2 linked regions of the Drosophila melanogaster genome follow. The protein of the gene in region 1 interacts with the protein of each later gene in a pairwise test. Each region holds a gene or a part of one and is shown in the gene's direction. Other genes may lie near its edges.

Region 1 (3,108 bases):
AGCAAATAATAGGGATTTGTGGGCGGAGCGGTGGGCGGTGGGTGGTGGGTGGATAACAAAAATAGCTTGAAACTAATCGCCGTCGCAGCTGTAGAAAACAAAGCAAATGCAAAAGTCAATAGACAGTAGACAGTAGACAGTAGCGAAATACAAACGACATTATTAAATTCCCCCGTAAAGTCGTGAAGTGGAAGCCACCCAGCCATCCGATTTGACTTATCGCGACCCCAGTGCGACCCGACATACTCATCACATAACCGCCTACCAACTACCGGCAGCTGTCCCAAGTGATCCGACTCGCTTTGGATGCTTCCTCGACTTGGTGATGGAGATGGTGCTGGAGATCTTGGTCCCAGGCGGCTAATTAAAACGTACCACCTTATTAAATGTCTCGGGGACTTGGGCTTAAGATCACTGTTTCAATTTTTAGAGCTTGAAACTATTCTTCCTGTACTTCCATGCTAATGCTAATGCATTTAACTGAGGCTTTATTTAACTTACTGCAATTTTGTGGCCTAGTAAAATATACATCTGTGTATACCCTCAAAATGAAAAGGCAGAACCTTTTACTGCCTATTTCTGTTTCTACTAGTAAGTAGTAATGAAAGTATAAATCAAACAATTGGTGTCAAGCGTGGCCGTGCTAACAGCTCTAATGCTAATTCTGCTTTTTGCACCTTACGGCAATTTTTAAAGTGCTTGATTAGTGATTATTTAGTCACGTGTGTCTAGTAGGCAACGTACGTCGATTTTGTCAAAGCTTAAAAGGTTGGAAATGAGTCATACGCGTACAACAAATCTTTATACTAATTCGGAAAACCTCAGTTCTTAACAAACAAATAAGTAGGTTATTTTACGCAGGCCAATTTTCGAATACTTTTTTTTTTAGGATCGTTTTAAGATGCGCTGAGTTTACAACGATTTATCAAGTGACCTGGCACAAAAGAGATAAACGCACGTTATCAGCAGACGCAGACTGTCTACAGGAATGTGCCCTTTTGCAACCCCAAATAGACGTCATCTTATCGTCATCTTCGGCATTAAACTGCAAACCCAGAAATGGCACTCCGAGTTCCAAGAAGTGATATCTAAAAAAAGGGAAACAAACGGAAAACAAAAGATCAGTGCCACACACACCTTATCAACAGCAGGATACAAAGGGAGTTGGACAAATGAGGCCGCAAAACACTTTTCGAATAGAGGCCAATTGAACAAGAGTAGCCCAAAATCCATATATGTATATATATATATGACTTTTACAAAAGGCGGCGACATTGAAAAACACAGCAGATAATAGATTTGAAAGAGGAACAAACACGAATTGAATGAACCCAGACAATCGATGGGCGCGCATTTCGCCACCTACTGATCCGGAAAAACTCGGATTGTATTGTATCTGAAATTCAAAAGATCCCAGCTGAACGCACGCAAGAATAAACATGACCAGTAGATAGGGATGCCCAACGGGTGGGCTTACAAGTAGGTAAGTGGGATGGGTTGGGTTTTGGGTTTGGGTTTGGGTATGGGATTGGGTGGCATGTACGCGTGCGCAGGCAAATCGAGCGGGTTTATGATCTTGTTTTCGTTTTGCAAAAAGAAAATTCGTCGTCGATTTGTGTAAACAAAGTTATAAAAGTTGTGGGGGGATTACGAAGAGCGGCAGATAAGGCTTTCGCCATATAAGCTAGTGTACCAATCCACAGGACAGCATTCAATCGAGAGTCTTCGAGTAGAACACACATAGCATAACCATAGCATATCATACCATACAATGGAGCACCATCAGATCTATCGCCACAAAAAGTTCGACATGGGTCGAAAGATTGAGAAATGCGATTTGCAGCTGAAGGAAGAGCTAATCTCCCGGAGCGGCACACCCTGCACCAGTCGGAGTCCTTTCGATGCGGCAAATCAGTCCGTCAGCTTGGGTTTCAGTGATCAGGATGCTGACTTTCCTCCACTGCCAAAGCGTCGTCGTTTGGGATCCTCATCCTCAAGCGTTTCCTACCAATCCGCCAGCCCCATCATAACCGAGGCCATCCAAGACATCTTCAAGTACCACGTCAATATGGTGCGAAAATTCCCGAAGAAGGAGCGTTCACCGAAGGATCAGGAGCGCCGCAACAAGAACACAATTGCCTGCAGGATGAGTCGACGGAAGAAGAAGTTCGATGACCTGCAGATCGAACAGCAGTACAAGGAGTGCTCCGATGAGCACCTCAAGATCGCCGAACAGAGTCTGCGTGCCAGGGTCTATTTGAATCATCTGAAGCAGCTGGTCAAGCAGGAAGACCACCCGCTAGTATCCTCAAGGAGAGTTCCGGAGGAGAATACCAAGAGTAACTTTAGCATCGACTACCTGATAGGTGGTATTAAACAGGAGCATGCTTAGATACGTCCATCTCCTTTTAGGATTGTATTATATAGTTATTATATTAATGCTAAGTTGTTAAGTTTCTTCAAGAACTTTTAGTGCTAAGAAATTTAGTATATATTTAGTATAAATGCCTTAAAAGGTTAAGCAGGAACTTCTTAATAAATAAAATATGAGGATTTAATTTTTACGGCTAATTGATTTTTTATCGTGTGCTTGACTTTTAATCTTCCTTCTAAAAATGGTATAAATATTAATTTATGACATTGGCAGAAAAAGTAATCAAGCGCTAATGAAGCAATGAATATATTAAAAATATATATAAATAAATTTAATAAAATATAATAAAGCGTGGAGCCATCGAAATAAATCCCAATTAATCCCCAGGGGTAGTTCGCGTGGTGTCACAGGCAATCATCAGCCCCTGGAGCAAATCGTTATTGGTGACCCCATCGACTATTGCCTCCCCCCATGGAGAATATCAAGCCAGTCGGATAAAGTTCACTGGGTATTAACCCTGCACCCTGGTCAAACCACTGGCAATAGAGCCGTAAACCGATTGAAACCGCAGCTACGGGAATGTGGGCTTAAATAATAACTACTCCTATTCCCGTCCATCGCTCAGCTGTCATTGTCGCACTTAAAGTTAAACTAAACACTTTAGCTATTAGTAGCTACGATATTTTCAAATACATTGTAATCGAATTGGTCACGCTAAAGGCTTTCATTTGCAT
Region 2 (4,867 bases), 6.3 Mb from region 1:
AATAAACTAGTTTTTCAAATATGGATAAATAGTTAGGAAACAATAACATTTTGTCATGTTTATTTGCAACAACAATTACAATATGTACACATTAAGTTTTAAATATAATGCAAAAGGCACCGGTTCCCTCTTAAGAACAATTAAAAATAGCTTAGACCCAATCCTTGGGGTTCTTCAGGACCTTCATCAGTTTGCCCTCCTCGGACTGGGACTTGGGCTCGTGCATGTACTCCCAGCGGGCGTGCAGGGGCAGGGACATCAGGATGCTCTCGTACCGGGCTCCAGGCGTGTATAGACCGAACTTGGTGCCACGATCGTAGATCAAATTGAACTCCACGTAGCGCCCGCGGCGCAGCAATTGCCACTGTCGTTCGTTGTTGCCATACTCCCGATTTTTGTGCTTTCGTACCAGCGGCACGTAGGAGGGAATCACGGCCCTGGCGCAGCTTGACACAAAGTTGAAGGCCGCCTCCTGGTTGGGCGAATCGATGTCGTCGAAAAAGATTCCGCCAATGCCGCGGCTCTCGTTGCGATGCTTGATGCGGAAGTAGTCGTCGCACCACTTCTTAAAGCGCGGGTAGTAGGTGGGATCGTGCTCATCGCAGGCGGACTTCAGCGTCTGGTGGAAGTGGGAGGCGTCCTTCTCGCAGAGGTAATAGGGCGTCAGATCCGTGCCGCCACCAAACCACCACTGCTTCTCCCCCTTGGCAGTTTCCACTTCAAAATAACGATAGTTGAAGTGAATGGTGGGGACATGGGGATTCCTCGGATGGATCACGGCACTCACACCGCTGGCAAAGAACGGCAACGAGGCGCCCTCCTTCAGATTCTTGCCGCGAGCCCGCATCTGTTGTACTGCAGCCGGGGGCAACGAACCGGTGACCACGGATATATTGACGCCTGCCTTCTCGAACACATCGCCATCCTGCAGGACGCAAGTGATGCCGCCTCCGCCCTCAGGCCGCTCCCACCGGTCCACCTTGAACTTCTGGCCACAGTTCTCCTCCGCCTCCAGGGCGCGGCAAAACTCCGCCTGGATCTCCATGATCAGGATCTCCATGCGATGACGCATGTTCTCCTTGTCCCCCAGCAGTGCCTTGGAGTCGGTGATGGGCTCGGCCATGAACCGCGAGGTGTTCATCTGCACCCCGTTGACCTTTGGGTCGACAGCCTCCGCGGAATGTGCGTACGTGACCGCCGAAAAGCTGGCCAGGCCCAATCCCGTGCCGAGGAGAAAGCCTCTGGCGTGCGGCCCCCTGGTCCGGCGCACCAGTTGAAAGGTGCCCAGCGATACCAGGGATATCGTGTGACGGAGTGCGTTCATTATGTGCTCTCGCCTACTTCAAATTTTTAACTTAACTTAAGTACTTTCGCCGAACGCAGTTTGTTTGTTATCTTTCACTGACCCGGCATTTCTAGTTGCATAGTCGCCGGTGTGACCGTGATATCACCAAAATATACCGAAAATAGGGGGCTCGCGATTTTGTTCTATTTACAGAGATACAAGAAGTTGTAACGTTCTTATAAAAATATTATATATTGTTAAGAACACTAGCTAGCTCAATATGTCTGTATATATACACAAAATAATAATAATAAATAATATATGTTAAAAGTTACGGAGCAGTACAATTGCTTTTAATGGTAGACATATTTGTCTTAATTTTATATTATTATTTGTTATAAGTGATATAACTCCGATGATGTATATGTGTAGTGTCCATTGGAATACCCCATTCAAAAATATAAGCGCAATACGGGCACTCTGTCGTGGCATTTGAAATAAACGACTGCAAAGGCGCGTCGATCGTTGGCAAATGAGCGTGCTGTGAAGAAATCCATGAAATATTTGCGTGTGCGCCTTGAAGATTAAGGAAGATCTGCGTGAATACTATTGCCAGAAGGTAGGTGATCGACTGGAGCGAACTCTAAATCCTCTGAACTATAGTCAACGCGCAATTATACGTGTTTATCCCGTCGACTGGAGTTTTGCACCCAGGACACACGCACACTCGCACACTCACGATGTCTGGCCTCAAGAAATTCCAAAACACTGAGGAATGGCGTCAGAAACTCCGTCAGTTTCTAATGACCGAGCGGTAAATACACATTGAAACCCATCCTTGGATAGTGTTGCACTAGTGTTCGATGAATTTGTAGTCATTTACTTTCAAACAAGCCACCTGCATGTCAAAATTGTTAGAGAAACAGTACGCATAAATAGTTTGGACAGTTTAGACACACATACAATTTAGTTGAGAAAACTAATAACAGTTTTCCTTTTTCAGCTTGCCGAAAAAGCCCGTGAAAATGGACGAAACGAAGGATATGCGCTATAGTTTGGAGATCGACGAGGATTTGAGGAGACCCTTGGAGGCGCGGGCCAAGAAAGTTCTGGCCGTTAATTCTGCCAGTCAAAGGACTGTTAATCTCGGCGAGGATACTATGTACGAGGCAGGTGACTTGGAGCACTTGGACGATGGCGATGATAGCTTCAGTGCCTTTGAGCGCATGTGCGACAAAACCGGTTCCGATCCGGATAGCACTCTTTTCCAGTACCTGCACAGCGAGGACCGGAGTCAGGTGATGGCCAGGGCTAGGGATCATAGCACCGACGATCAGAAAGAGATCGATGCACTGCGTCGCATGCTAGAGGCAGTGGGTACAGAAGACGATCTATTGGAGAACGAAAGTCCCGTCAAGGGGGCGGAGTGCACTCACCTGGAGGACATTGAGGCGCCGTCGCGCTTTTGGGACAACACCCTGGCCGGAATGGACGAGACCTCATCCGACTCTGGGCTGACTCCTAAAGCATTGACCAAGGTTTCGCCTGTCAAAATGGTGGGGCTGCTTCGCCCCTCAACCATCATCGAAGACAGCGAACTGGAGTCGTCTGATGTGTCTTCACACACAAGCTTCCAAAGCGCTCGCACCCTAAAGACAAATGCATCTAGTTCTTACGAAACAGCCACGGATACTTCCCTCAGTGGAACGCTCCTAAACGTCGACGAATTGTTTTACGCCGCAATTGCCAAGGCCAAGCCACCAGGAATGTCCAAGGGAGAGGAGCTGGAGCTCTTAAGCGATCTTCATGGCAGTCTTAGAGAGCTGGCCTCACTTCCGAAGGATGAGGTCGAGGAGGAAGAGGACGATATAGAGGATACAATAATCGAGCTATCCTCTTCTGACGATGAAGAAGTGCAGCTAGTTCCAGAAGTAAAACAAGAAGACACGTCCCGTGTGTCCTCAGTCCACGGAAAAGATCACACTGAGCAGAAACCAGCGGAGAAGAGCGTTGAAAATAAGGAAAATTCGTTGCATTTCAATGATACCATGGAAGAAATGGAGTACATGATGCAAAAGGGTATGGAGTACATGGCAGGTGGGGCTCCTTCAGTCGCCGCAGTCAAGGCAGATTGCCCTGTGCTGCCCAAGACCAAACAAAGCACGTTCGTTGTTTCACCGAAGCCGGAACCAAAATCACCGGCTGTAGCCTTTTTGCAGCCATCAATTCCGCTGCGGTCATCTAATCAGCCACAAACAGTTGTAGGTTCATCTAGCACGGGTAGAAAGCCGCTCAATGTCGGCCTCACCATGGAGTGGACCAAAAAGAAATTTTTCAGTGCAGCCTCTGGTATTCCTCAGCGTCGCCAAAATCAGATAAAGCAGCCATACGCCAACATAGTCAGTCCCATACGCACCTACACCCAGAAGTCTGGTACTGCTCCGCTAATGAGTACATTCCGTCCAACGAGTTCTGATATGCTATCTACACTGGCCATCAGTGAGTTGGAGCAGGAGTCTCGCTTGTGTCATCCTAAAGCACTTTTCGCAACAAAGGACGAAACACCCAAGTCCAGTGAAGCGGAATCTTTAATTATCAATGGAATCGATTCAGCCGCTGATCTGCTTCCCAAAAAGGCTTACATATCTTCCGAAATCAAGCATGTAAGTTTAAATTTATATATAAGCCATGATGAGTGAACGTAAACTAATACCTTCCATTGAACAGGTGGTTGATGAACGAACTCCTTTGCCCATGCCGAAGGTACCTCAAATTCAAAAATACCTCAACTCCGCCGTGGAGCCTACTGTTATGCGCCACGATGGCAAAATGAAAATGCCCGGCGAGGCAGTCCGCAATCCGTCGTCTTCGCATATCCCACGACGCGCCAATCACAGCCTGGCTGATCTGTCGCTCGCCTCAGGCGACGTGTCCTTATACACAATAAGAGATGCCCAAAAGTTTTAAGGCCCATAAAAGTACTTCACGCTCCTTGACTAAATATTGCAACGATAATAAATGTATTGTGTAACTAGTGCTAGTAAATGCCTTCGTTTTCGTTTGATAGTATCAATGCTTGCATCATCACTTAACTCGCGCCTGCGGTCCCTTCCACGCTCGATTAACCTTGGACTCTGAGGTTCTGCCCAGTTCGGTGCAGATGTACCGCCCCACTTGGATCAGTTTGTCTAGGTTGACGCCAGTATCGAGGCCCATGCCGTGCAGTAAGTAGACCACATCCTCGGTGGCTGCGTTGCCTGACGCCCCCTTGGCGTAAGGACATCCGCCCAAGCCAGAAACGGAAGAGTCCACCACCCGAATGCCATAGTCCAGTGAGACCAGTATGTTGCTCAGAGCCTGACCATAAGTGTCGTGGCAGTGCACGGCCAGATCTTTAGCCGGGACGACCTTGGTCACCTCATCCAGCATTCGGCGCATTGTGCCTGGAGTGCCCACACCAATGGTGTCGCCCAATGAGATCTCATAGCAGCCCATTTGGTACAGGGCTTCCACCACTTTGACGACAGCACTCGGCGCAACAGCACCCTCGTACGGGCAGCCAACCACGGTGGAAACGTAGCC

Evidence for each region.
Region 2: the proteins of Mabi (region 1) and sip2 interact in a two-hybrid assay, tested with the Drosophila melanogaster proteins (one large-scale study listed by BioGRID).

The regions. Positions count from the first base shown.
Region 1 is NT_033779.5:13,233,259-13,236,366, reverse strand, and holds Mabi (mabiki), read left to right. Parts: upstream 1-1,706; 5' UTR 1,707-1,771; coding exon 1,772-2,392; 3' UTR 2,393-2,569; downstream 2,570-3,108. UniProt on the Drosophila melanogaster protein: Plays a role in inducing apoptosis and is involved in the repair of head patterning defects in the embryo caused by extra maternal copies of the homeotic gene bicoid.
Region 2 is NT_033779.5:6,960,976-6,965,842, reverse strand, and holds sip2 (septin interacting protein 2), read left to right. Parts: upstream 1-1,768; 5' UTR 1,769-1,904; intron 1,905-1,987; 5' UTR 1,988-2,025; coding exon 2,026-2,099; intron 2,100-2,166; exon of another isoform or gene 2,167-2,187; coding exon of another isoform or gene 2,188-2,210; exon of another isoform or gene 2,211-2,288; coding exon 2,289-3,948; intron 3,949-4,012; coding exon 4,013-4,252; 3' UTR 4,253-4,327; downstream 4,328-4,867. Other genes in the region: Coprox (coproporphyrinogen oxidase), read right to left, coding at 152-1,324; Hmgcl (3-Hydroxymethyl-3-methylglutaryl-CoA lyase), read right to left, coding at 4,370-4,867.